Anolis sagrei: one gene and its partners. The protein of the gene in region 4 interacts with the protein of the main gene of each other region in a pairwise test. Links are inferred from orthologs where the notes say so. Each region holds a gene or a part of one and is shown on either strand. Other genes may lie near its edges.

Evidence for each region.
Region 1: the proteins of ZMYND19 (region 4) and ENOX1 interact in binary tests that used the Homo sapiens proteins (3 or more experiments, as listed by UniProt). The two-hybrid records come from large-scale screens. The link is inferred for Anolis sagrei from reciprocal best matches to the Homo sapiens genes ZMYND19 and ENOX1.
Region 2: the proteins of ZMYND19 (region 4) and TNFAIP1 interact in binary tests that used the Homo sapiens proteins (3 or more experiments, as listed by UniProt). The two-hybrid records come from large-scale screens. The link is inferred for Anolis sagrei from reciprocal best matches to the Homo sapiens genes ZMYND19 and TNFAIP1.
Region 3: the proteins of ZMYND19 (region 4) and NAB2 interact in binary tests that used the Homo sapiens proteins (3 or more experiments, as listed by UniProt). The two-hybrid records come from large-scale screens. The link is inferred for Anolis sagrei from reciprocal best matches to the Homo sapiens genes ZMYND19 and NAB2.

What each region holds. Positions count from the first base shown.
Region 1 is NC_090023.1:144,623,173-144,630,305, reverse strand, and holds the start of ENOX1 (ecto-NOX disulfide-thiol exchanger 1), read right to left. Parts: upstream 3,004-7,133; 5' UTR 2,794-3,003; intron 1-2,793. UniProt on the Homo sapiens protein: Probably acts as a terminal oxidase of plasma electron transport from cytosolic NAD(P)H via hydroquinones to acceptors at the cell surface.
Region 2 is NC_090031.1:25,689,319-25,696,555, reverse strand, and holds the start of TNFAIP1 (BTB/POZ domain-containing adapter for CUL3-mediated RhoA degradation protein 2), read right to left. Parts: upstream 3,007-7,237; 5' UTR 2,790-3,006; intron 644-2,789; 5' UTR 566-643; intron 1-565. UniProt on the Homo sapiens protein: Substrate-specific adapter of a BCR (BTB-CUL3-RBX1) E3 ubiquitin-protein ligase complex involved in regulation of cytoskeleton structure.
Region 3 is NC_090022.1:184,056,516-184,064,169, forward strand, and holds the start of NAB2 (NGFI-A-binding protein 2), read left to right. Parts: upstream 1-4,643; 5' UTR 4,644-4,926; coding exon 4,927-5,039; intron 5,040-7,654. UniProt on the Homo sapiens protein: Acts as a transcriptional repressor for zinc finger transcription factors EGR1 and EGR2. Isoform 2 lacks repression ability.
Region 4 is NC_090031.1:6,000,290-6,007,791, reverse strand, and holds the start of ZMYND19 (zinc finger MYND domain-containing protein 19), read right to left. Parts: upstream 3,021-7,502; 5' UTR 2,873-3,020; coding exon 2,822-2,872; intron 1-2,821. Other genes in the region: protein STPG3, read left to right, coding at 6,509-6,597, 6,752-6,927. UniProt on the Homo sapiens protein: May be involved as a regulatory molecule in GPR24/MCH-R1 signaling.

The DNA of each region.
Region 1 (7,133 bases), on a different chromosome or scaffold from region 4:
ACCCCCACATGCACAACATGTGAATGAGAGGGAAAGACTTTCCAAGCTCCTGTCAATCAAGTCTAGAATTTGAAGAGCTGCCTGTCTGCCATCTGAAAGACTTTTTCTCTTTGACAAAGACTTGGTTCTTGGGTATTTTTTACACTGGCAATCAAAAATAAGAGGCACAAACAGATAGAGACACTTAAGAAAAACAAAGCTAAATAAACGCGTGGGCTTTTATGAAGTGCAACTCGTTTCCACACCACCGTCTCCTGAAATTGCAAGGAGGTGGTGGTTGGGCTGTTCATTTCCCAGCCTGCAGACTGTGATCTCTCACCCTTGGCACTCATCCAAGAAGAGGGGAAAGTGGGGGGGGGGGGGCACCCCTGGGAGACTAGCCAATATTTTCACCATCTTTTGGATAGCTTTTTTTCCCTGCGGCAATGACACCCAAGAAAGCCAGACCTTACATTAGGGAGTCACCTCTGGGGCAGACAGAGAGAGAGAAAGAAGCGAGCAAGCGACTGATGCCCTGTTCCTGAAGCGAGGCTGCTCCCCTCAGGAGAGAAGGAAGGATGCTGTCCAACTCTCCTGAGTTGAAACAAGCTCTCATTCAGACAAGAGTTCTTCCTCCCACCCTGGACATTCCACAGATACATAAACCCCACTTGCTTTGTTTCCAACAGACCTCACAAACTCTGAAGATGCCTGTCATCGATGTGGGCAAAACATCAGGAGAGAATGCTTCTGGAACATGACCAGACAGCCCAGAAAACTCACAGCAATCCACCTTGAGTCTCAGAGCCCCCGGTAGCACAGTGGGTTAAACCCCTGTGCCGGTAGGACTGAAGACCCACAGGTTGCAGGTTCGAATTCGGGGACAGCGTGGATGAGCTCCCTCTGTCAGCTCCAGCTCCTCATGCGGGGACATGAGAGAAGCCTTCCACATGGATGGTAAAACATCAAGACATCCGGGCGTCCCCTGGGCAACATCCTTGTGGACGGCCAATTCTCTCACACCAGAAGCGACTTGCAGTTTCTCAAGTCGCTCCTGACACGACAAAAAAAAAACTTGAGTCTCCTTGGAGACAAAGGCAGGAAGTAAATATATATAGTAAAATAATAATAATAATAATAATAATAATAATAATAATAATAAATAAGAGTTCTTTTTCCCACCCTGGACATTCCACAGATATATAAACCCAATTTTCCTAGTTTCCAACACACCTCACAACCTCTGAGGATGCCTGCCATAGATGCAGGTGAAATGTCAGGAGAGAATGCTTCTAGAACATGGCCAGACAGCCCACAAAACTCACAGCAATCCACCTTGAGTTTCCTTGGGGACAAAGGCAGAATGCAAATATAGTAAAATAATAAATAAAACAATAAATAAGAGTTCTTTCTCCGACCCTGGACATTCCACAGATATATAAACCCTATTTTCCTGGTTTCCAACACACCTCACAACCTCTGAGGATGTCTGCCATACATGCAGGCAAAACATCAGGAAAGAATGCTTCCAGAACATGGCCAGACAGTCTGAAAAACTCCCAACAACCCAAGCTCTCTTTTCCTTCTGGTTGATGGAAAGGGATGGACCAATTGCCCATTTGCCTCTGACATGCCCTGACGCGTGACCAACATTAGAATAATAGTTGGAAGAGACCACATGGGCCATCTATAGGAGAACCCCTTGCCATGCAGGAAAAGCACAATCAAAACACCCCCAGCAGATGGTCATCCAGCCTCTCCTACTTGTTTTCTGCTGCTCTGAAGATTAGGACGCAGAACAATGGCTTCAAGAAAGGAGATTCCATCTGAACATGAGGAAGAACTTCCTGACTGTGAGAGCTGTTCAGCAGTGGAACTCTCTGCCCCGGAGTGTGGTAGGGGCTCCTTCTTTGGAAGCTTTTAAACAGAAGCTGGATGGCCATCTGTCGGGGGGTGCTTTGAATGCAATTTTCCTGCTTCTTGGCAGAATGGGGTTGGACTAGATGACCCATGAGGTCTCTTCCAACTCTTTGATTTAAAGCTTCTACTACACTCCAAGGCAGGGAGAGTTCCACTGTTGAACAGCTCTTAAGGTCAGAAAGTTCAGGTGAAATGAAGCCATTCAGGTCTTGAAAATGGATACTATCAAGTTTTCAGAACCTCCACTATCAACCCCCAAAAAGCCCACAAAGCATCTAGGAAACTTTTGCTGTCAAGTCAGCTCCTTGGTCCTTGCTCTCCTAGGTCTCGCCTTGGGCAGGAGATGGCACTAGGGACACGACCCTCTCCATCCCTGTGGACTGAGGACTGGCTCCAACCCCCCCCCCCCTTCAGTGACAGGAGGAAACTTTCAGGAGGAAGGGGGGTGATGGCAAAGCGCCTTCAAGGCACAAAGTCCTCCCTTCCTTTGCAAGAGCCGCCTGGGGGTGGACGGAGGGGCCAACCGAGGGGCGGGGAGGGTCTGCTCCCCTTTCCCGAGAGGAAGAGAGGAGGAAGGGGCGCCAGGCCGGGAGAGGAGGAAACTTTTGGACTCTGGGGTTGGCAGGAGGAAGAGGAGGAGGGATGGAGACCAAGGGCAGAAGCAGAGGAGGAAGAGGAGGCAGAGGAGGAGCCCCTCCGCGCCGCCCATCTGCCCCAAGCCCCTCGCAGGCTGGCTGCCTGGCTGCCTGGCCCGGCCTGCTCCCTTCTCCCCACTGAGGATGGGAAGCGGGACCCCGCCGGGTGGATGCTGCCGCTGCTGCTGCTGCCATTGCCGCCCGCTCTCCGGGGCTGCCCCTTCCTCCCCTTCCCTTTCCTTTCTTCCCCTTCCCTTACCTGCGCGCAGAAGTCCAGCCAGATCCCGGTGGCGCCGCGCGGGTTGTCAGCAGCCCGGGTGGGCGAGCGAAGCAGGCAGGCAGGCAGGGAGGGAGAGGAGGCTGGGCGAAGGCGAGCTGGACCCAGGCAGCAGCAGCAGCAAGAGGAGGAGGAGGAGCGGATGCTGCTGCTGCTGCTCCTGCCGCCTCTCTCTCTCGCTCTCTCTCACTGACTGGCTGCTGCAAGGGACCGAGGCGAAATTCTGCCGCCGAGGACAAGCGCAGACAACGCGTTCGCCAGGTGCGTCGCAGAGCTCCAGGAGGGCCGCCCAGGAGCACCCCCCGCCCCCGTTACTCCAATGGAAGCAAGGCGCCCTCCTCCTGCTCACCTGGAAGGGAACTGGGGGGAAAGGAGGAAGGAGGGACCCAAGCCCAGACCCCCTCCCCCGGAGCCCCTATGGGCCCCCTTCCTTTCTATACTACCAGGTTTGGATGAAAAGTAATGCCTCCACCATTGTAACTCCTCAACAGATGGCAGTACTGGTATGCAGCAGGTACTGGCTTGTTCAGTAGACACTCCTCTACAGTTCCATTTTGGCAGGAAGCCTTAGCATTGAACGGCTTTGTTGTTAAAGTGCAAATTATGGAACCCTGCGCAGACGGTCGGTCAATGCGACTTAAGCAACGTGCAGTCATTGAACGCCCCTGTTACTCCAATGGAAACAAGGCACCCTCCTCCTGCTCACCTGGAAGGGAACTGGGGGGGGGGGGGAGACCCAAGCCCAGAACCCTCCCCCCCCCGAGCCTCTGGACTTTTCTATGGCCCCCCTTCCTTTATATAATTCCAGGGTTGAATGAAAAGTAATGCCTCAACAGAAGGCAGTACTGCTATGCAGCAGGTACTGTAACTCCTCAACAGATGGCAGTACTGGTATGCAGCAGGTACTGGCTTGTTCAGTAGACACTCCTCTACAGTTCCATTTTGGCAGGAAACCTTAGCATTGAACGGTTGTGTTGTTAAAGTGAGAAGTATGGAACCCTGTGCAGGCAGTACGTCAATGCGACTTAAGCAACGTGCAGTCATTGAATTCTTGACAGCAGAAGTTGTCTTATCCTGGCTACCTCAGAGAGAAGTTTGGCAACAATAATGGTCACGTAGGGGAATTTGAAGAAAAAAAACCTAGTAAGAACTTTATTTGGATTTGGGCTGATCTATTGGGAAGGTTTCTCAGTAGTAGGGTAAAGGTAAAGGTTTTCCCCTGACATGAAGTCCAGTCGTGTCTGACTTTAGGGGTTGATGCTCATCTCCATTTCTAAGCCAAAGAACCAGCATTGTCCGTAGACACCTCCAAGGTCATGTGGCCGGCATGACTGCATGAAACGCTGTTACCTTCCCACCATAGCAGTACCTATTGATCTACTCACATTTGCATGTTTTCAAACTGCTGGGTTGGCAGAAGCTGGGGCTGACACTGGAAGCTCACGCCGCTCCCCGGATTTGAACCTGCAACCTTTCAGTCAACAAGCTCACCAGCTCAGTGCTTTAACCCACTGCACCACCGGGGGCTCCAGTATCAGTAGTAGGTTACTAATATGTAGCTGAGCTTGTTTGTAAAAACTGCAGGACAATAAAATGTGAGGCATAGGGCCCTTCCACACTACCTCTTTATCCCAGGATCTGATCCCAGTTTATCATTTTACCCCAGGGCCCTTCCATACAGCCATATAACTCAGAATTTCAAGGCAGAAAATCCCATAATATCTGCTTTGAACTGGCTTATCTGAGTCCACACTGCCATATATTCCAGTTCAAAGCAGATAATGTGGGATTTTATTCTGCTGTGTGGGAGGGGCTCTAGGTTATCTGGCAGTGGCGACTCATATATTCCAGTTTAAAGCAGATAATCTAGGATCAGATCCTGGTATAAAGGGCAGTGTGGAAGGGTCCATACATTCAACATCTTGGTTATTACAAAGGCAAAGTCTTGCATTGCATGAGACTCTGCAAATTTACCCCAAAGCACTTCGGATGGGAACACATTGCACCTTGGCTTGGAGAATAGGTGGCGATATTTGGCCACAGACACATTTTTAAGATAATTTGCTTCATGAAAAGGGCCAGCAAAGTGTATGCTCAGTGCACTTGGGGAAGAAGAAACATATGAGCAGTAATGCAGCTCACCGAAGGCAATGTCTTACAGCACTGTTTCTCAACCTTCCTAATATTGTGACCCCTTAATACAGTTCCTCATGTTGTGATGACCCCCAGTCATAATATTATTTTCGTTGCTAATTCATAACTGGAATTTTGCTATTGTTATGAATCATAATGTAAATATCTGACATGCAGGATGTATTTTCATTCACAAATACCCTATACGCCCAAATTTGAATACTGGTGGGGTTGGAGGGGGGAATGAGTTTGTCATTTGGGAGTTGTAGATTTATAGTTCGCCTACAATCCAAGAGCATTCTGAAGTCCACCATCGGTGGAATTGAACCAAACTTGGCACACAGAACTCCCATGACCAGCAGAAAATACTGGAAGGGTTTGGTGGGCATTGACCTTGAGTTTTGGCATTGTAGTTCACCAACATCCAGAGAACACTGTGGACTCAAGCAATGAAGGATGTGGACCAAACTTGGCACGAGATGCCCAGATGTGAACACTGGTGGAGTTTGGGGAAAATAGACCTTGAAATTTGGGAGTCATAGTTGCTGGGATTTATAGTTCACCTACAATCAAAGAGCATTCTAAACCCCACCAATGATAGAATTGGGCCAAACTTCCCACACAGAATCCCCATGACCAACAGAAAATACAGTGTTTTCTGATGGTCTTTGGTGACCCCTCTGAAAGCCCCTTGCGACCTTCCCAGGGGTCCCGACCTCCAGGTTGAGAAACACTGTCCTACAGTCTTTGTTTGATAGATTAAAGTGCCAATATGAGATAAGAGGGAGGAAGAGAGGCCAATAGAAGAGGCAATAGAAGAGTTAAGCTTTAACCAGTTGCTGGTGTAATCATTCTGAGCTAGATGGTAAATCAGACCTGAGCCCAGTCTGAAAACACTGACCGTAATCCAATATTTAAGGGCCCACCACCAAGCTTTTGTTGACAGGGGGATTTCCCCAGATTTTAACAGTAAGACACAGGATGGCACACATCTGGGGAACTGGAAGACGGCCCTCAAGAACTGTGGTTGGTGCTAATCTATCTTAGGTGTTGAGCCACCAATCCAGGTGCTGGATGCGTCTTGGCATTACATTTTTAAATAGCTGATGGTATATACCAGGCATGGGCAATCTTTGGTCCTCCAGGTGTTTTGGACTTCAACTCCCACAATTCCTAACATATAGCAGGCTGTTAGGGATTGTGGGGACTGAAGTCCAAAACAGCTTGAGCGCCAAAGTTTACCCAAGCCTGGTAAATACCGACCCCTTTTGGTAATGCTAAAACACAAAATGGCAGATCTGCTAACTTGTGCTTTCAGGGAAATAGAAGAAATGTGGGTGGACCAGGACAGAGCGTGAATTTATATACAAGGTTTGTGGATACAATGTCTGATTTGAAAATGCCCTTTCACAGCCATTACAGCCATGAGGGGGTGATAGGTTACAATTCCCATTATCCCCAGTCTGCATGATAGATAACACTATATAACACAGTTTTTTATTCCTGCATTATCAATGTCATTTCCTAATTGGTTCTATTATGAAAACATGGGGAAAGTTTATTAACCTGCAAAAACTTTGTGTTTGCAGGACATCCTGCCATATCGCAGATTGCTATAGTTTTTCAATGAATATCTCATCGAGTCTCAACCAGTTCAATATAGTTTATGGCAGCCACCAAAATAAAGTTTCTGGAGTATCACAACTACTTTCAAAGGAAGTAGGTAAAGGTTGTCCCCTGACATTAAGTCCAGTCATGTCTGACTTTGGGGTGTGGTGCTCATCTCCATTTCTAAGCCAAAGAGCCAGCATTGTCCATAGACACCTCCAAGGTCATGTGGCCAGCATGACCGCATGGAGCGCCGTTACCTTCCCGCCGGAGCGGTACCTATTGATCTACTCACATTTGCATGTTTTCGAACTGCTAGGTTGGCAGAAGCTAGGGCTGACAGCAGAAACTCACGCCGCTCCCTGGAATCGAACCTGTGAACTTTTGGTCAACAAGCTCAGCAGCTCAGTGCTTTATTGCACACTTAAACAGAAATTGACACTTTTAAACCAGGAACAGATTTTTTTATTTTGTTTGGCAAGCCTTGCAAATGCTGGTTGATTATCAGGAAAAGTTTGATTTTTTAAAATACGTATATATCTAAGGTCCCATAGAAAAATCTCAGGCAGAAAAGGGTAGCA
Region 2 (7,237 bases), about 20 Mb from region 4:
TTAAATGTCTTGGCTCAATGCTATGGACTCCTGGGATTGACAGCTTGATGAGGAACCAAAATTCCTGGGCAGAGAAGATTAACAGCGCTGTCGAACTACAGCTCTCGTGATTCCATAGAACTGAGCCATGTCAGTTCAAGTGGAGTCAAACTGCATTAATCCTACAGTGTGGATGAACCCTAGGACACAAATCCCCACTAGGAGACCTTGGGCAAGTCCCACTCTCTTGGCCTCAAAGGAAGGCGACGACAAACCATCTCTGAAGAAATCTTGCCAAGAAAAACCATATCATTTATGACACACAACTCCTTACCCTTTGCCCCATAGAAAGCCGCTAGATCTACAATGCAATGATGTCACCTCCATGTGCATAAAGACAACGCTGAACCTATAAGTTCTGCCAGCATTGCACAGGATCAATTATTATGAACAAAATTCTCTTTTTAGTTCTGATTATAGTATATGCATTAAATCCATTCGACATATCTACTTGCTGACTCCTCATCCCACCACTGATTGAACAGCTCTACCCTAAATGAGGGTAAACAACTGGGACATAGCATACCTGTTATATTTCTTTCTGATGGATAAAGGATGCTGGAACAGGCAGGACGGGCAATGTTGGTTGTAAAGCTTCACTCCTCTGTGAAACAAAGAAAAAAACGTATTTAAAACATTTCAACCAAAGTCTTTATCATACACTAGCATGCTGCACCAGTATGATTTCCATCTATGTTCATGAAAGTTGGCTAAATATTCTTCCTCCCCAGACAGTCTATTGTATTCTATTGCCGCTGTACGTTAATCTTTGTACCCTGTGTTTTGGTGTATGTATTTTATAATGGTATGTTTTGATGCATGTATTTTGTTGTATGTATTTCAAGTTGATATGTTTTGAGTATGTTGTACTCTTCCTAGAGCTGTTAAGAGAAGTGGGTAATAAATACAATTTATTATTACTATCATCATCTATGTTTTATTAGGTATGGAGGTTTTCCATAATCACACTACCCTGGGAGAGTTAAAGTTCTATTTGCTGGACAGGCACCTAAAGTTCTACCTGTTGGACAGCCACCCAAAGCTCACCATCCACCTAAGCTCTATCTGTTTGGACATCCACTTAAAGCTCTGCCTGTTGGACAGCCACCCAAAGTTTTACCCATTGGACATCCACCTAAAGTTCTACCTGTTGGACATTCACCCAATGCTGACCATCCATCTAAAGCTCTACCTTTGGGACATCCATCTGAAGCTCTGCCTGTTGGACATGCACCTAAAGTTCTACCTGTTGGACATTCACCCAATGCTCACCATCCACCTAAGCTCTATCTGTTGGGACATCCACCTAAAGCTCTACCTTTGTAACATCCACCTGAAGCTCTGCCTGTTGGACATCCACCTAACGTTCTACCTGTTGGACATTCACCCAAAACTCACCATCCACTTAAGCTCAACCTTTAGTACATCCGCCTAAAGCTCTGCCTGTTGGACATCCACCTAAAGTTCTTCTTGTTGAACATTCACTCAATGCTCACAACCCACCTAAAGCTCTACCTTTGGACATCTACCTGAAGCTCTGTCTGTTGGGACATCCACCTAACGTTCTACCTGTTGCACATTTACCCAATGCTCACCATCCACCTAAAGCTTTACGTTTGGTACATCCACCTAAAGCTCTGCCTGTTGGACATCCACCTAATGTTCTACCTGTTGGACATTTACCCAAAGCTCACCATCCACCTAAGCTCTACCTTTGGAACATCCACCTGAAGCTCTACCTGTTGGACATCCACCTAAAGTTCTACCTGTTGGACATTCACCCAAACTCACCATCCACCTAAAGCTCTACCTTTGGTACATCCACCTAAAGCTCTGCCTGTTGGACATCCACCTAATGTTCTACCTGTTGGACATTCACCCAAAGCTCGCCATCCACCTAAGCTCTATCATTGGTACATCCACCTAAAGCTCTACCTATTGAACAGCCACCCAAAATTCTACGGGTTGGACATGCACCTAAATTCTACCTGTTGGGCATTCACCCAATGCTCACCATCCACCTTTGGGACATCCACACGAAGCTCTACCTGTTGTGCATTCATCTAAAGCTCTACCTGTTGGATGTCCACCTAAAGTTCTACCTCTTGTGCATTCATCTAAAGGTCTACCTGTTGGACGTCCACCTAAAGTTCTACCTCTTGTGCATTCATCTAAAGGTCTACCTGTTGGACGTCCACCTAAAGTTCTACCTGTTGGACATGCACCTAAAGCTCTACCTTTGGTACATTCACCCAAAGCTCTGCCTGTTGGACATTCACCCAAAGCTCGCCATCCACCTAAGCTCTATCATTGGTACATCCACCTAAAGCTCTACCTTTAGTACATTCACCTAATGTTCTACCTGTTGGACATCCACCCAAAGCTCACCATCCACCTAAGCTCTATCTGTTGGGACATGCACTTAAAGTTCTGCCTGTTGTGCATTCATGTAAAGGTCTACCTGCTGGACATGCACCTAAAGTTCTACCTGTTGTGCATTCATCTAAAGTCCTCCCTCTTGAACGTCCACCTGTCCCTATTAAAGAACCTCTAATATACCCTTCCTCTTCTCCTTTTCTAACCTTGCCTGAAAATGGAACAGGGCTCCAAAATCAATTATCCCCGCCCGCCCGCTCCACTTCCTTTCCAGGCACTGACCCACCAAACACAAAATCAATCCCACCCTTTAATGCCTCCCCTCCCTCCCGCTCTCCGGGGCCCGCCCGCCTCGCTTTGGGCGTCCTCCTCACCCGCCGCCTCTTTCCTTCCTCAAAACGCCGAAGGGGTCGCGGCCGTCGCTCTCCGAGGCCTCCGAAACTCCCCGGGCTGAACTGAACCGTCTCCCGAGCGGGTCGGCGCGCCCTCCGCGTCCCCAGCCCAACCGAAGGGCGGAGCTCGAAGCTCTAGCCTCCAGCAACAGGCCGCCCTCGCCAGTCAGAAACTTCCGCCTACAAATCCCGGCATGCCATCGCGTCGCAGCGCTCCTTACGCAATCATAAACGGACGAGGATGACGTTACGTATGACGTCATCCGCCTCGTTCCCTCGCTTCCTCCCCAGCCAGGCAAAAGGAGTCGAAGGCAGAGCTATCGAGCGCCATTCAAATCCACTTTATCGGCCCTCTGCTTTTCTTTTCAAACATTAATAAAGACATGTTATATATATATATTTAAAAGCACGAAAAATACGCACAGACACTTTGATGTCTTTGAGGGATCCTCAAATATTTTACAATATTTGAATGGGAAATACAATACTTTTACAATATTTTAATGGTTTTACAATATTTTAATGGAAAATTATACCAAAGGGCTTCATTATTATTTCTTAAAATTTTTCAAAGCAATAATGGAATGTATTTTTATTATGTTTCATATTTATTGTATGATTTTTATTTTTTAATGTTTCATATTATATATATATATATATATATATAATTTATATATTTATTTTTATATTATATTTATATACTTATTTTATTATGTTTCATATTAATAATAATAATAATAATAATAATAATAATAATGTGTTGTCGAAGGCTTTCATAGCCGGAATCACTGGGTTGTTGTAGGTTTTTCGGGATGTCTGACCATGTTCCAGAAGCATTCTCTCCTGACGTTTCGCTCACATCTATGGTAGGCATCCTCAGAGGTTGTGAGGGCTGTTGGAAACTAGGAAAAATGGGTTTATATATCTGTGGAATGATGTCCAGGGTGGGAGAAAGAACTTTTGTCTGTTGGAGGCAAGTGTGAATGTTGCCATTGGCCAGCTTGATTAGCATTTGAAGGCCTGACAGTTTTTAGGTGTGGCTTCTTAGTGCCTGGGAGAATCTTTTGTTGAGAGGTTTTTTATTTATTTATTGTGTCATCAGCAACCGTACCATTGTATTACATTTCTAACAGAACAAAACAAACAAACAGATAAAAAAAACCCAAATTTTGCAAACTTGGTAGTTGATTAAATGTCCTTTGACCAGTATCTGGCCACTTGGAGTGCCTCTGGTGTTGCTGCAAGAAGGTCCTCCATTGTGCATGCAGCAGGGTTCAGGGTGCATTGCAGCAGGTGGTCAGTGGTTTGCTCTTCTCCGCACTCGCATGTCGTGGATTCCACTTTGTAGCCCCATTTCTTAAGATTGGCTCTGCATCTTGTGGTGCCAGAGCGCAGTCTGTTCAGCGCCTTCCAAGTCGCCCAGTCCTCTGTGTGCCCAGGGGGGAGTCATAGAATCATAGAATCAAAGAGTGGGAAGAGCCCTCATGGGCCATCCAGTCCAACCCCCATTCTGCCAAGAAGCAGGAATATTGCATTCAAATCACCCCTGACAGATGGCCATCCAGCGTCTGTTTAAAAGCTTCCAAAGAAGGAGCCTCCACCACACTCCGGGGCAGAGAGTTCCACTGCTGAACGGCTCTCACAGTCAGGAAGGTCTTCCTCATGTTCAGATGGAATCTCCTCTCTTGTAGTTTGAAGCCATTGTTCCGCATCCTAGTCTCCAAGGAAGCAGAAAACAAGTTTGCTCCCTCCTCCCTGTGGCTTCCTCTCACATATTTATACATGGCTATCATATCTCCTCTCAGCCTTCTCTTCTTCAGGCTAAACATGCCCAGCTCCTTAAGCCGCTCCTCATAGGGCTTGTTCTCCAGACCCTTGAATATAGGGTCTCAATATAGTGGGCTTTTTTGTTGCTGTTTTCAGGGCTTGTTTTCCAAAGTGTTCCATGTACAAATTAGCTATGGGGGCTCCCCATAGCTACTCCATCTTTCTGTTCATAGAACTCATTGTCCCACTGAAAGTAGCTGGTGGTGAGGCAATGGTGAAACAGAGCACAGAAATGCTGGACCACTCTCACAACCACCATGTCAGATTACACACAGAAGCCATTGAAATACACAAGCATGTGGACAATTTCATCAGAAAGGAGGAAACAATGAAAATGAACAAAATCTGGCTACTAGTATTAAAAAAAACTCTAAAATTACAACAGCACAACAACAGAGAGGAAACGAACAAGGACATTTAATCACCTCTCAACAAAAGATTCCCCCAGGCACTGTCAGGCCATTATATGCTAATCAAGGTGGTCAGTTGAAACATTCACACCTAGCTCCAGCAGACAAGAGTCCTTTGTCCCACCCTGGTCATTCCACAGATATATAAGCCCTTTTTCCTAGTTCCAATAGGCCTGCCATAGATTGAGGCGAAACGTCAGGAGAGTATGCCTCTAGACCCGAAAAAACCTACAACAACCCAGACCTCACAACCTCTGAGGATGCCTACCATAAAAGTGGGCGAAACGTCAGGAGGGAATGCTTCTGGAACATGGCCAGACAGCCTGAAAAACCTACAACAACCCATTATTATTAATTTATTATTATTATTATTATTATTATAGGAAAAATCCTGTGCACTTCTACTCCAAAGCTTCATCTGAACATTAGGAAAAACTTCCTGACTGTGAGAGCCGTTCAGCAGTGGAACTCTCTGCCCCGGAGTGTGGTGGAGGCTCCTTCATTGGAAGCTTTTAAGCAGAGGCTGGATGGCCATTTGTCAGGGGTGATTTGAATGCAATATTCCTGCTTCTTGGCAGGGGGTTGGACTGGATGGCCCATGAGGTCTCTTCCAACTCTTTGATTCTATGATTCTATGATTCATTGGGACAAAGGGGGCCTCTCGATCCCCCTTCCCCTTCTTTCTGATTTGGACTCTTCCAATGGGAACTACACTTCCCACAATGCAAAGCGCTCCTTTGGATTCTCTGTCTCCTCCCCCCATTGGACGAATGGTACGTTCCAATGGGGCGGGGCTGATGCTGTCGCCGTGGCAGCGCGGGGAGGGGGCCTGGAGGGCAGGTAAGAGCCTGGGGATGGTGGAGGGTGCAGTCCAAAGCCCCCAATTGAATACAAGAGGCCTTGGTTGCCGGGAAGGACCCATCCAGGCTTTGAACAGGAGATCACAAAGCCCATTCCAGCCTTTCCCAAGGCTCTAGGGGTCTGGGCTGATGGGTGGTGCAGTCCAATGTCTCTATAGAGCAGGGGTTCCCAACCTTGGGCCCTCCAGGTGTTTTGGACTTCAACTCCCAGGTATCCTAGCCAACTTAGCAGCTGTTAGGAATTGTGGGAGCTGAAGTCCAAAAGGCCTAGAGGACCAAAGGTTAGGAACCCCTCCTCTATAGAGAAGGATCCATTTATTCTGGGAAAGGGAGGCCACAAAGCTCAATTCTACCTTTCCCAAGGCACAAGGGCATCTGGGGATGATGGGTGATGCAGTCTGACATCCCTATTGAGGGCAGTAGGCACTCACTGTAGGGAAGAACCCATTATGTTGGGTAAAGGAGGGCATGCGTACCAAGTTTGGTCCAGATCTATTATGGGTGACCATGACAGGTTTGAATCGACTCCAATTCCCATCGTCCTCTATCAATTCTTGCCAGTTTTTAAAGTTGTTCCAGGTGTGAATGTGGGCCAACTTCAACCCAGATCCATTTATTTATTTATTTATTTACGACATTTATATGCCGCCCTTCTCACCCCGAAGGGGACTCAGATTGGCTTATAAGATATATATGTATATATATACATACATACAATATATTATATTATTAGCATAGTACAATATCAGCATTGAACATTGCTATATTGCACCATACCACTATATCGTAATATTATTAGTAATATTAGAATGGAGCATTCTCGGATGGAGGGCGATTAATAAGTTATTAAATGATGATGATGTAATATAAATATATAATTATAATATCATATTATTATTACATTGCATTACATTATAACATTTCTCCCATGGGGAGAAAGGTGGGGTATAAATAAAGATAATAATAAATTATAAATTATTATTATTAAGGTGGGGTATGAATTATTATTATTATTATACTGACACCAAACCACAGTATGTCACAGCAAATGAGATATATGTGCTGGATTTCGTATCACAAAATCACAAACCAAACACTTCCCACGCATCTAGGACTGTGTGATGTATTTTCAAATGATGCGCGCAGATCCAAGTCAGGTGGCCTTTTGCAGTTGACAGATCGTGATTTTGTCGCTATCAAGACCTCAAAATCGAACTGCAAAGGCTCTGGCATAAACCACTCCAGGTGGTCCCAGTGGTCATCGGCGCACTGGGTGCCTGCTGAGATCTTTTGGCATGGCACCCAGTGCGCCAATGACCACTGGGACCACCTG
Region 3 (7,654 bases), on a different chromosome or scaffold from region 4:
TCCTGACACGACAAAAAACAAAAACTAAAAACTAACAAGCCACACCAAAAAACTGCCAGGCCATCAAATGCTAATCAAGGTGGTCAGTCGAAACATTCACACCTAGCTCCAACAAACAAGAGTTCTTTGTCCCACCCTGGTCATTCCACAGATATATAAACCCAATTTTCCTACTTCCAACAGACCTCACTACCTCTGAGGATGCTTGCCATAGATGCAGGTGAAACGTCAGGAGAGAATGCCTCTAGAACACTGTTTCTCAACCTGGGGGTTGGGACCCCTGGAGGGGTCATGAGGGGGTGTCAGAGGGGTCACTAAAGACCACCAGAAAACACAGTATTTTCTGTTGGTCATGGAGGGTCTGTGTGGGATGTTTGGCCCAATTCAATCATTGGTAGGATTCAGAATGCTCTTTGATTGTAGGTGAACTATAAGTCCCAGCAACGATAACTCCCAAATGTCAAGGTCTATTTTCCCCAATCTCCGCCCATGTTCACATTTGGGCATATTGAGTATTTGTGCCAAGTTTGGTCCAGATCCATCATTGTTTGAGTCTACAGTGCTTTCTGGGTGTAGGTGAACTACAACTCCAAAATTCAAGGTCAACGTCCACCAAACCCTTCCAGTATGTTCTGTTGGTCATGGGAGTTCTGTGTGCCAAGTTTGGTTCAATGCCATCGTTGGTGGAATTCAGAATGCTCCTTGATTCTAGGTAAACTATAAATCCCAGCAACTGCAACTCCCAAATGACAAAATCAAGCCCGCACCCCACCAGTATTCAAATTTTGGTGTTTCGAGTATTTGTGCCAAATTTGGTCTAGTGAATAAAATACATCCTGCATATGTGATGTTTACATTACGATTCATTTGTTGTTCATTCGTTCAGTCGTCTCCGACTCTTCGTGACCTCCTGGACCAGCCCACGCCAGAGCTCCCTGTCAGCTGTCACCACCCCCAGCTCCTTCAAGGTCAGTCCAGTCACTTCAAGGATGCCATCCATCCATCTTGCCCTTGGTCGGCCCCTCTTCCTTTTGCCTTCCACTTTCCCCAGCATGATTGTCTTCTTTAGGCTTTGCTGTCTCCTCATGATGTGGCCAAAGTACTTCAACTTCGTCTCTAGTATCCTTCCTTCCAGAGAGCAGTCGGGCTTTATTTCCTGGAGGATGGACTGGTTGGATCTTCTCGCAGTCCAAGGCACTCTCAGCACTTTCCTCCAGCACCACAGCTCAAAAGCATCGATCTTCCTTCGCTCAGCCTTCCCTAAGGTCCAGCTCTCACATCCGTAGGTTACTACAGGGAATACCATGGCTTTGACTAGGCGGATCTTTGTTGCCAGTGTGGTGTCTCTACTCTTTATTATTTTATTGAGATTGGACATTGCTCTCCTCCCAAGAAGTAAGCATCTCCTGATTTCCTGGCCACAGTCTGCATCTGCAGTAATCTTTGCACCTAGAAATACGAAGTCTGTCACGGTCTCCACATTTTCTCCCTCTATTTTCCAGTTGTCAGTCATTCTTGTTGCCATAATCTTGGTTTTTTTGATGTTTAGCTGCAACCCGGCTTTTGCGCTTTCTTCTTTCACCTTGATTAGAAGGCTCCTCAGCTCCTCCTTGCTTTCGGCCATCAGAGTGGTGTCATCTGCATATCTGAGGTTGTTAATGTTCCTTCCAGCAATTTTCACCCTAGCTTTGCATTCATCCAGCCCCGCACATCGCATGATGTGTTCTGCATACAAGTTTAAAAGGTTGGGTGAGAGGATGCAGCCTTGCCGTACGCCTTTCCCAATCTTGAACCAGTCTGTTGTTCCGTGGTCAGTTCTGACTGTTGCTACTTGGTCCTTGTACAGATTCCTCAGGAGAGAGACAAGGTGGCTTGGTATGCCCATCCCACCAAGAACTTGCCACAATTTATTATGATCCACCCAGTCAAAGGCTTTAGAATAGTCAATGAAGCAGAAGTAGATGTTTTTCTGAAACTCCCTGCCTTTCTCCATTATCCAGCGGATATTGGCAATCTGGTCTCTCGTTCCTCTGCCTTTTCTAAACCCAGCTTGAACATCTGGCAACTCTCGCTCCATGTATTGCTGGAGTCTTCCTTGCAGGATCTTGAGCATTACCTTACTGGCATGAGAAATAAGGGCCACTGTACGGAAGTTTGAGCAGTCTTTCGCATTTCCCTTTTTTGGTATGGGGATATAAGTTGATTTTTTCCAGTCTGATGGCCATTCTTGTGTTTTCCATATTTGCTGGCAAATGGCATGCATCACCTTGACACCATCATCTTTTAAGATTTTAAACAGTTCAGCTGGGATCCCATCATCTCCTGCTGCCTTGTTGTTAGCAATGCTTCTTAAGGCCCATTCAACCTCACTCCTCAGGATGTCTGGCTCTAATTCATTCACCACACCGTCAAAGCTATCCTCGATATTGTTATCCTTCCTATACAGATCTTCTGTATAGTCTCGCCACCTTCTCTTGATCTCTTCAGCTTCTGTTAGGTCCCTGCCATCTTTGTTTCTTATCATACCAATTTTTGCCTGAAATTTACCTCCAATGTTTCTAATTTTCTGGAAGAGGTCTCTTGTCCTTCCTATTCTGTTGTCTTCTTCCACTTCCATGCATTGCTTATTTAAAAATAGTTCCTTATCTCTTCTGGCTAACCTCTGGAATTGCGCATTTAACTGGGCATATCTCCCCTTTTCACTGTTTCCTTTTGCTTTCTTGGGCTACTTCCAGTGTCTCAGCAGACAACCATTTTGCCTTCTTGGTTTTCTTTTTCTTTGGAACGTACTTTGTTGCCGCCTCCTGAACAATGTCGCGGACTTCTGTCCATAGTTCTTCTGGGACTCTGTTTACTAAATCTAGTCCTTCAAATCTGTTCTTCACTTCCACTGTATATTCGCTAGGAATGTTAGTGAGATCATATCTAACTGGTCTGTGTATTTTCCCTGATCTCTTTAGTTTTATTCTAAATTGGGCAATAAGAAGTTCATGATCTGAGCTACAGTCAGCCCCAGGTCTTGTTTTCACCGACTGGATAGATGTCCGCCACCTTTGGCTGCAAAGGATGTAGTCAATCTGATTTCGGTGCTGACCATCTGGTAAGGTCCATGTATAAAGCCGTCTTTTAGGTTGTTGGAAGAGAGTATTCGTTATACACAGCGAGTTTTCCTGGCAGAATTCTATCAGCCTGCGTCCCGCTTCGTTTTGTTCTCCCAGACCATGCTTGCCTGTGATCCCTGTTGTCATTTGACTTCCCACCTTGGCATTCCAGTCTCCTGTAATGAAAATAATGTCTCTTTTTGGTGTATTATCCAGTAGGTCCTGCAGATCCTCATAGAACTGATCTACTTCTGCTTCTTCAGCTGCTGTGGTTGGGGCGTATATTTGGATCACTGTGATGTTGAGAGGCTTTCCTTGCACTCGAATTGAGATCATTCTGTCATTTTTGGGTTGTATCCAAGCACTGCTTTAGCGAATTTCTTATTAATTATGAAGGCTACTCCATTTCTTCGATGTTCCTCTTGTCCGCAGTAGTAGATCTGGTGGTCATCTGATGTGAAGTGGCCCATTCCAGTCCATTTCAGTTCGCTGACCCCCAGAATGTCTATCTTTAGTCTTGACATCTCACCAATAACAACATCCAATTTGCCCTGGCTCATAGATCTTACATTCCAGGTTCCTATGGTGTGTTGATCTTTAGAGCATCGGATTCGTCGTTCACCTCCAGTACCGTCGGCCGCTAGCCTTCCTTTCGGCTTTGAGCTAGCTGCGTCATCACATCTGGGGCTAGTTGAACTTATCCTCTGCTCCTCCCCAGTAGCATTTTGGCCATCTTCCGACCTGGGAGTCCCATCTTCCAATGGCATACCGACATATCTCTGGTTGTACTGGTCCATTTAGTTTTCTTGGCAAGGATACTGGAGTGGTTTGCCATTGCCTTCCCCAGGGATCACGCTTGGTCTGACCTCTCTGCCACAACCGTCCCGTCTTGGGTGGCCCTTCACGGTTTCGCTCATGACATCATTGAGGTGCTCAAGCTCCAGCGCCCCGACAAGGCGGTGATCCTTTGCTGGAGATTCATTACGATTCATAACAGGAGCAAAATGACAGTGATGAAGTAGCAACAAAAATAGTTTTATGGTTGGGGGTCACCACAACATGAGGAACTGTATTAAGGGGTCGCGGCATTGGGAAGGTTGAGAAACACTGCTCTAGAACATGGTCATATAGCCCGAAAAAAATTATAAGAACCCAAAGCCCTTTTTGGTAAATATGCATAAGAATGTGGGGGAGGAATCCCTCAGCCTACTCCTATCTTGAGTCTAGCTCCTCATTGTGGACTGGAGACTTGATGTGACAAGAGACTTGTGCAGAGCAGGGATGAGACCCAAAACATCTGAAGGAGCACCGTTTGAGAACCACTGGTTCACATGTTTTGCTCTGAGTTGGATTACATGAGTCTACACTGCCAAAGCAGATCATCTGGATGTTCGATGTCAGTGTGGAAAGGGCCTTTGTAGCCTTCTCTGCCTGCCCACGAGGGCTGGAATCTCTCCAAACTCCCCCTGATGCCAAACTGCATGAACCGGACAGTGTGTGGCTGCAGCTCCTTCCCTTCACTTCCCTCCCTTCAGTGCTGCTGCTGCTTCTTCCGCCCACGAGCCTCCCACGCGCCACTGAGGCAGAGCAGCAGCAGCACAAGCAACGCGGAGCCATTGTAAATCCGGCGGCGTGGGAGGCAACTCCGTGCCAAAGGCTGAGCGCACAGAGAGAGGGAGGGAGGGAGAGGCGAGGAGGAGGAGGAGGAGGAAGAAGGAGAAGGGGAGGAGGAGGGAAGGAAGGAAGAGCAGAGAGAGCGATTGAGAAAGAGAGCGATTGAGAGAGAGCTTCCACGGACAGAAGAGGGGACCAAAAGCGGCGTCGGATGCCTTGCGCCCTCGGAGAGAAGAGCAAGAGGAAGGCGCCTCCTGCAGGGCGAGCCAACCCCTTGGCCCATGCCCCACCCGCGGCCTCGGAAGGGAGCCACGCAAGAAACCCGTGAGTGCCTTTGGGAGGAGGGGGAAGGGAGAGCGAGTTAGGACACCCCTCTACACGGTGGAACTGATGCAGCTCCACACCGCTTGAGCTGCCCTGGCTCCATGCAGAGGCATCATAGTTCTCTCCTCCTCTGGGGCTGATCGGCCCTCTATTCCAGCATCTGATCCCAAGTTTTCTCCTTTAAACCGGATTATGTGAGTCCACACAGCCAGATAATCTGGGATAAACAGAAAACCGAAAACCTGGGATAGAGGGCCTGTCTGGAAGAGTCCACACTGCCAGATAATCCAGTTCAATGTGGATTTTATGCAGCTGTGTAGAAGGGGCTTAAGCAACAAATGCAAGAGGAAGTCAGTTAAACAAAACTATGTGTGTATATATGTGTGTGTGTGTGTGTGTGTGTGTGTGTTTGTGAATGTATATGTGTGTGTGTGTGTGTGTGTGTGTGTATATATATATATATATATATATATATATATATATATATATATTTGTGTATGTGGGTGTGTGTGAATAATTCAGTTGGGAGAGACGACAGGGGCCATATAGTCCATCCCCCCTGCCATGCAGGAAAAGCACCATCAAAGTACCCCTGATAGATGGCCATCCAGCCTCTATTTAAAAGCTTCCACCACATTCCGAAGCAGAAAGTCCCACTGCTGAATAGACATAAATATACAGTAGATTTGTCAATATAGAAAGATGAAGATGGGGAAGCGGACCTCGGGGTAGAAAATGAGGACATCAGTAGAGAGGCCACATTTTTCCAAGCACTGATTATAAACTCATGGAACCCCCGGTAGCGCAATGGGTTTAAACCCTTGTGCCGGCAGGACTGCTGACCAAAAGGTCACAGTTCGAATCTGGGGAGCAGGGTGAGCTCCTATCTGTCAGCTTCAGCTTCCCAAGCAGGGACATGAGAGAAGCCTCCCACAGGATAGTAAAAATATCTGGGTGTCTCCTGGGCAACATCCTTGCAGACAGACATCTCACTTCTCACATCAGAAGTGACTTGCAGTTTCTCAAGTCACTCCTGACATGAAAAAAAAGTTTAATTTAGAAGCTGTTTTGGGAAGTGAAGTAGTTAGGTAGTTTTAGACTGGGCTTCATGGTCTTATACTAGGAGGTGCTTAAAAGGAAGACCACTCATGACCCCTTTTTACCCAATAATGTTTCATATGACCTGGCTATAGATGTATGTCAAATTGATGTGAACACTAAACATTTACTGTGGCTGGATGTCCATCTGTCGGGGGTGCTTTAATTGTGTTTTTCCTGCATGGCAAAGAGTTGGACTAGATGACCCATGTGGTCTCTTCCAACTCTACGATTCTGTGACAAAATCTGCATTTGCAAGGCTTGCTAAGCAGACTGATTTCCCCTTTTTGTGATGTACAACTAAAGCATCTTCTGCAGAGTCCACTGTGAACACTGCACATTTTTGCTAACAGAATACTGTTTTTTAAACTGTAGGTCCTGATCCCAAATGGGGACCCCTTAGCTCAGTGTTGGAATCACAAAAAATGGGCAACAGCGAAACATATCTGAACCATGTGCAATGTTTACAACAATGTGCAATGTTTACAGTTGGGCTGGTTGTGCAGAAAATGCTTCAGCTGTCCTCCAAAAAAGGAAAAGTCAGTGCTCTAGATTAGTGATTCTCAACCTATGGTCCTCCCAGTTGTTTTGGACTTCAACTCCCAGATATCCTAGCCATCTTACCAGGTGTTAGGAATTGTAGGAACTGAAGTCCAAGGCTGAATCTATACCGCCCTATATTCCAGGATCTAATCTCAGGTTATCTGTTTATCCCAGATTATTTGGCAGTGTAGACTCAGATAATCCAGTTCAAAGCAGATAATTGGGATCAGATCCTGGGATATAGGGCAGTGTAGATCCAGCCCAGGATACCAGGAGGACCAAAGATTGGGAAGCACTGCTCAAGGTGGTTTTGCAACTCCCATCATTCTTTATTAGCTCTCCTGGCTGCTGAGACTTGCAACTTCATGGCACCTGAAGGGCAACATTTTTCCCACTCCAGTCCAGCAGGCTCCTCCCTGTTCAGATGTGTATTTACTTTACTGTATTACTTCCAAATATGGTTTAAGGGACATGTGCCATTCTCTTAAACGGGGCCACAGAATTCTGCCCCTAAAGCCCTCCTAAAGCATTTTGGCAAGCATGATATGTAATGGTGAGAGGAAAGGCAATGGTGGGAGTGGGCTGCTGCCTTCCCCGTCTCTTACAAACTACCACCACCAAAAGCATTCCTTCTCAACCTTCTTAATACAGTTCCTCATGTTGTGGTGACCCCCAACCATAAAAATATTTTCATTGCTACTTCATAATGGTAATTTTGCTACTGTTATGAATCATCATGTAAATATCTGATATGCAGGATCTATTTTCATTCACTGGACCAAATTTGGCACAAATATCCGATACACCCAAATTTTAATACTGGTGAGGTTGGGAAGGATTGATTTTGTCATTTGGGCATTGTAGTTGCTAGGATTTATAGTTCACCTACAATCAAAGCGCATTCTGAACTCCACCAACAATTGAATTGAACCAGGCTTGGCACACGGAACTCCCATGACCAACAGAAAATACTG
Region 4 (7,502 bases):
TATGGGAGAGGTTACATATGCTAGGATTATTTATTTATTTACGGCATTTATATGTCGCCCTTCTCAGGGCCTTCTCGGTGATTGCTCCCCAGCTATGGAACTCCCTTCCTGGTGAGATCAGGTCGGCCTCCTCTCTCCTGTCCTTTAGAAGGATGCTAAAAGCTTGGCTGTGGGGCCAAGCTTTCGGGACAGGGAATAAAGCGGCAATAGGAAAGATGACCAAGCCAATTAGATTTTATGAGGATGACCAGGATGGTTTTAAATTGTGTATTTTAATATTTTGATAAATGTTTTCAGTGTTTATGTATTGTACATGAATTTGTGTCCCGGCATTGAAAGTTTGCTGTGTATATGCTGCGCTCCACCCTGAGTCCCCTTCGGTGTGAGAAGGGCGGAATATAAATGTTTTAAACAAATAAATAAAAATATTATGATCAATATTATATGTACATACAATATACTATAATTCTTAGCATAGCACAATATTAGTATTATATGTTACTATATTGTACTATACCATTATACTGTAATATAGTCAAATATATTATATGTACATACAATATGCTATAATTCTTAGCATAGCACAGTATTAGTATTATATATTACGATATTGTACTATACCACTATGCCGCAATATTATTAGTAGTATTAAATGTAATATGAAATTTATAATTATTATATTGTATTATTATTAATATATTGTATTACATTATATTATTATCAATATTATATATGTATACAATATATTCAATATATTATACAATATTGTATAATATGCCCATGTCATCAGTTGGGAGTCCCTCTCCCTGCACCAACTGCTGCTCTGGGCCAGAGTGAAGAGAGAAGGGGGCCAGGAAGACAGTTCCACCTTGTCTCCAGTCTTATGGTAATAATATAATATAATATATTGTCTAAACATATAATATTTATAATATTATAATGTAATACAATATAATACTACTAATAATAATATTCCAATACAATGGTATAGTACAATTTATTTATTTATTTATGTTACTTTTATCCCGCCCATATCAGCCCGAAGGTGACTCAAAGTGCCGTACAAATCGACACAATTAGATGCCATATATAAATACATACATTGGTTAAAAACAAAAACAAAAATCACACCATAATACATTTAAAACCATAAAAGCAATAAACAATACAAATTATAAAAACTATGTCTTCTTGTTCAATTCCTCAACCGTTCCATCGTCTTGGCCGTTCCTAGTTCATATTCCAATATGAGATTATCTGGTCATGCTGAAGTTCCAAACACTTGCTCAAAGAGCCAGGTTTTCACTCTTCTCCAAAAGGTGAGGAGGGAGGGGGCCCATCTAATATCCCTAGGCAGGGAGTTCCACAGCCGAGGGGCCACCACAGATAGATAGATAAATAAATAAATAGTACAATAAAGTAATATATAATACTGATATTGTGCTATGCTAATAATATCTTGTATGTATATATATCTTGTAAGCCGCTCTGAGTCCCCTTAGCACAGCACAATATTAGATATATATATTGTATATGTGGGTCTGGGGAAAGAGAGGATGTAACACACTATCTGTTACATTGCTCACTGTATAATGTCCCTCGAAACAATATTTTGGTAGCCCTTTTGGAAGAAAGGGCAGCATGGCAACAGTCAGCAGTTATTTGTGACTTATTGGCGGATTATTCCAAAGATATAACATTGAAAGTTGCCACATTTGCAGTCGCAGCCCAAAAAATCCGAGCCAAACTAGTAAAGTCCACAGCAGAAGCTAGAAATGGAAATTAAGATATTTTGGGGATGATATAAACCAGACATTTGCAATTGTTATTATGTCACTACTATAATTTTAAAGAGCTACTATACGGAACTTGGGTTGTTGTAGGTTTTTTCGGGCTATATGGCCATGGTCTAGAGGCATTCTCTCCTGACATTTCGCCTGCATCTATGGCAAGCATCCTCAGAGGTAGTGAGGTCTGTTGGAACTAGGAAAAAAGGGTTTATATATCTGTGGAATGATGTCCAGGGTGGGAGAAAGAACTCTTGTCTGCTTGAGGCAAGTGTGACTGTGGCAATTGGCCACCTTGATTAGCGTATAATGGCCTGACAGTGCCTGGAGCAAACTTTTGTTGAGAGGTGATTAGATGTCCTTGTTTGTTTCCTCTCTGTTGTTGTGCTGTTGTAATTTTAGAGTTTTTTAATACTGGTAGCCAGATTTTGTTCCTTTTCATGGTTTCCTCCTTTCTTGACATTTGGGACTTGTAGTTGCTGGGATTTATAGATCACCTGCAATCAAAGAGCATTCTGAACCCCACCAATGATAGAAACGGGCCAAACCTCCAACACAGAATCCCCATGTGGGCCACAGCAACGTGTGGCAGGGGACAGCTAGTATAAACACACACACATATATATATATATCTCCTAGGCCTGGGTAAACTTGGGCCCTCCGGGTGTTTTGGACTCCAACTCCCACAATTCCTAACAGCCTACCGGCTGTTAGGAATTGTGGGAGTTGGAGTCCAAAACACCCGGAGGGCCCAAGTTTGCCCAAGCCTAAGATACATAACCATGTGGTACAAATACATATCTATAACCATGTGCTGCAAGTATATATATATATAATATTAGTATTATATATCAACCATATTGTAGCGAGAGGGGGGGAAAGGGAGGAAGGAAACGACCCTCTTCCTTTCAGGCCTGTGGAAGCCCCCTGACGTCACAGAGGTCCGCCGCGTGACGTCAGGGCGCGTCACGGGCCTGTGAGGGAGCGAAGGGCCTGGCCCGCCTCCCGCCCCGCTCGCTCTCTCTCTCTCTCACCTTGCCGGCGACTCGGCCCAGCCGCACGATGCCCAGCTTGAAGTCGGTCATGGCCGTGGCCTGGCCCTGGCGGAGGGAGAGGAAAGAGGCGAGGGGCGACGGAGGCGGGGCAGCAGCACCACGCAGCAGCAACGCCGCCGCCGCCTCCTCCTCCTCTGCCCGCCGCCGCCGCCAGCGCCTCAGACGCCCCTCTCGAGGTCGCCGCCAATCAGCGCCCGAGCCGCACGCTCACGTCATCGCTCTCCGCGGCGGCGGCCAATCAGCGCCCTCGCGTCATCACTCTGAGGAGAGCGCGCGGCGGCCTGAGGACTGCGCACGCGCGAGACCGCTCCCCCCCGGCTCCCCCCTCTCTCCTCAACCCAACCCTTTTATCCGAGCCCATCCAATCGGCGCTCGAGCTGTCTCCTGCGTCATCATCACCGCGCAGCCAGTGCCTCTCCTGCTCTCCCTCACACCGCCGCGGCCTGCGTTGATGACGTTCATCAAACTCGCGCGGGAATTCTTTTTTTCCAATCTTTCCTGCGTGGGCGGGGCTTGGAAGGAGCCTGTCGCGCATGCGTACTGGGGCTCATTTAGCAGACGCTTCGAATCAGTGACATGTGATGGAAGGAGGGGGAACATTCGCTTCGTAGAGGAGCCCGCCGCGCATGCGTAGTGGCGCTTCTTCAGAAGCCTAAAGCAATACTGTGGGAGGTGGAACTTTCGCTCATTAGAGGAGCCCGCCGCGCATGCGTACTGGCGCTCCTTTAGAAGCCGAGCAACGGCCGCGCATGCGTACTGGCGCTCCTTAACAAACCTAAAGCAATACTTTAGTGGGAGGGGGAACTTTCGCTTCTTAGAGGAGCCCGCCGCGCATGCGTACTGGCGCTCCTTTAGAAGCCAAGCAACGGCCGCGCATGCGTACTGGCGCTCCTTAACAAACCTAAAGCAATACCTAGTGGGAGGGGGAACTTTCGCTTCTTAGAGGAGCCCTCCGCGCATGCGTACTGGCGCTTAATTGGTTATGCTTTGAATCACTGATATGTGAGAGGAGGGGGAACTCCCGCTCCTTAAAGGAGGTCGCCGCGCATGCGTACTGGCGCTCCTTTAAAAACCTCGCAACAGCCGCGCATGCGTACTGTACTTTTTATTTGAAGCTTAAAGCTCAGCTGATCTGTGATGGGAGGGGTAACTTCGCTCCTTAAAGGAGACCGCCGCGCATGCGTACTGCCGCTCCTTTACAAGTCTAAAGCAACTCTCAGTGGGAGGGGGAACTTTCGCTCCTTAGAGGAGCCCGCCGCGCATGCGTACTGGCGCTCCTTTAAAAACCTCGCAACAGCCGCGCATGCGTACTGTACTTTTATTTGACGCTTAAAGCTATGCTGATCTGTGATGGGAGGGGTACCTTCGCTCCTTAAAGGAGACCGCTGCGCATGCGTACTGGCGCACCTTATATTATTATAAGCCTAGCAATAGTTTGACTCAGTTACATGTAATTTTAACTGCTCTCATGTCTCCTCTCAACCTTCTCTTTTGCAGGGTAAACAGACCCAGTTCTTTAAGACGCTCCTCATAGGGATTATTCATGATCTCCAACGATTTGAACATTTTAGTCTCCTTCCTCTGGACCCCTTCCATCTTAAGAGTCGAGATCTCTTTTGAACGGTGGTGCCCAGAATGGGACACAATATGATTCCAGGTAAAGTGAACCTCTCAACCTCTGAGGATGCTTGCCACAGATGCAGGCGAAACATCAGGAGAGAATGCTTCTGGAACTCTGCCATACAACCCAAAAAACACACAACAACCCAGTGATTCCGGCCATAAAAGCCTTCAACAATACAGTTGTTGACATTCATTTTATTAAAGGGAACTCAGAGCGGCTTACAAGTAATATCTAAATACGATATATTATTACCATAGCACAATATCTATATAAATAACAATGTAAGTTCGTTTGTGGGATTAACAGAACTCAAAAACCATTGGACGAACGAGAAAGAGGGAGAGAAATGAAGGAAAGAAAGAAGGAAAGCGGTAGAGAAGGAAGAAAGAAAAGGGGAAGGAAAGGAAAAAAGGGGGAAGGAAGGAAAGAGGCAGAGAAGGAAGGAAGGAAAGAAGGAAAGGGAGAAAGAAAGATGGAGGGAAATAGAGAAGGAAAGAGGTAGAGAAGGAAGAAAGGAGAAAAAGGGAAAGGAAAGGAAAAAAAGGGGAAGGAAGGAAAGAGGTAGAGAAGGAAGGGGAGAAGGAGAGAGAAAAGGAAAGGAAGGAAAGGAGAGAAAGGGAGAAAGAAAGAAAGAGAGGGAAATAAAGTAGGAAATAGAAGGAAGGAAAAAGGTAGAGAAGGAAGGAAGGAGAGAAGGAAAGAAAAAAGGGAAGGAATGAAAGAACGAGAGAAAGTGGGAGGGAAGGAAGGAAAGAGAGAAGGAAGGATTGAAACAAAAAGCGAAGGAAGGAAAGAGGGAAAGAGGTAGGGAAGGAAGAAGTGAGGGAAAGAAGATGAAAAGGGGGAAGGAAAGGTAGAGGTGGAAGGAGAGAAGGAAAGATAAAAGGAAAGGAAGGAAGGAAAGATGGAGCAAAGGAAGGAGAGAAAGAGGGAGGGAAGGAAAGAGAGGATGGAAACAAAAAACAAAGGAAGGAAGGAAGTAGGGAAGGAAGAAATGAGAGAAAGAGATAAAGAAAGGGGGGAAGGAAGGAAAGGTAGAGAGGGAAGGAAGGAGAGAAAGAAAAAAGGGAAGAGGGAGCAAAGGAAGAAGGGCAAGAAGGAAAGAAAGAGGGAGGGACGGCTGGCCAGAGCAACGCGCGGTGTGTACAGCTAGTTCGTATATTACTATATTGTACTATACCATTATACTGTAATATTAGTAATATTACATGTAATATAAAATATATAATTATATTAGTAGTAGTATTATATTGTATCACATTATATCATCAGTATTATATGTATATACAATATATTATTATATTATTAGCACAGTGCAGGAGAGAAGATGGAACTGTCTTCCTGGCTCCTCCCTTCACTCTACTAGTCTACTACTACTCTACTAGTCATGTCATTCCAGGATGAAGATGAACCACTGGGAAGAAGCACCCTTTGGTTTTGGCTGCTTAACCAATTCCATATCCACCTTATAGTAGGCCTTGCCTTGCCCACAATGGGCTAGTATGAAGCAAGGAGGTCATGGAAGGCCTTCCTGAAATCAAGATCTGCTCCATCCACAGCATTCCCTGCATCTACCAAGCTTGTAACTCCATCGAAGAAAGAGATAAGAGGAGTCTGGCATGACTTGTTTTTGAGGAATCCATGTTGACTTTGAGTATTGATGTCAGACTGACTGAACAGTGGGAATTGTTTGGGTTGTCCTTTTATGTCTCGAAGATGGGGACAACCTTTGTCCTCCTCCAGTCTGCTGGGACTTCTCCTGTTCTCCAAGATTGCTCAAACATTATTGCCAGTGGTTCTGAAATCACTTCTAGTTACTTCAGTACTCTTGGATGGGGTTCATCTAGCCCTGGAGACTTGGGAGATAGAAGATAAGTTATCTCTTGGTCTCAGGGATTTGAATGACTGGTAGGATCAAGGATGATCTTCAACCGCTGGCAGGACGCCTTGCTATCAGATAGAACAGAACACGCTGATGTCACACAAGACGCGGCCCGCCATTCTGAAAGATGGGAGAGCGCCAACATCGCTGAGCCATAGATATGGAGTACCAGCTGATCCACACCAAGTTCTTGGCCCAGCAATACCTGAACAAACCTTTGCTCTACAAAAGGCAGCCAAAACCCTACCGGTAAGGCCAGGGATCTGCACTGTATAAGTAACGCAGTTTGACACCACTTTAACAGCCACAGCTCAATGCTCTGGAATCATGTACAAGGTGTGCCAGACTATAACTCCTAGGATCCTACTGCATTGAGCCAGGGTGGTCCCAAGTGATGTCAAACTGCATTAATTCCACAGCGTAGATGGACCCCTAGTTCTCTACGCTCTTCCAAATTCATTTCCCTTCCTTCTGGGATTTCTGATCCTTCTCACACTGCGTTTCTTTGCAGGGCTCTTGCGGGCAGAGAAACCAACACAACGCCGCTCTTCCCCGACATCCATCCTGGAAAACAAAGCAGTAAGGAAGAAGGCAACTTCTGCTCTCTTCACACGGACTCCAATGGTCTTGGTTGAACTCTTGCCATCTTTATTTATACCCCATCCCATCTCCCCTTGTATGTGTTGTTGTAGGTCAGCCTGTGATTGTGTCTGATGCTCAAGATGATGTTCATGTTGGGAACGACAGTCATGTTGATGTGCATAATAGGAATGGGGATGGTGTTCCCGATAATGGGCCTGGGAATGTGGCGTTTGCCCGGCCTGGTATTAAGTTCAGAAGAGAGGGCTGAGCAAGGCAACATTCCTGGGAAAGACCTTTCACCGCTTTTTTCAGAGCCACAGTCTGAAAATTATGCCGTGATTGTTTTACCAGGTGCAGGAGATGATTGTGAAACCATGGCAAAGTTTTAGTAAACAGAGGCAGAACTTTCAGAATCTCAGGCGTTCTGCTTGTTTACAGCCAAAGCAAAAGAAAGATAACAAACCGTTATCTAGTGGGAAAGTGAGAAAGGATGTGTTCCTTTCAGTTTCAGGCTTTGGAAAGGGTTTATGATTCATGGGAGTCGAATGCCTGTCAAATTAACATTCCTAAGT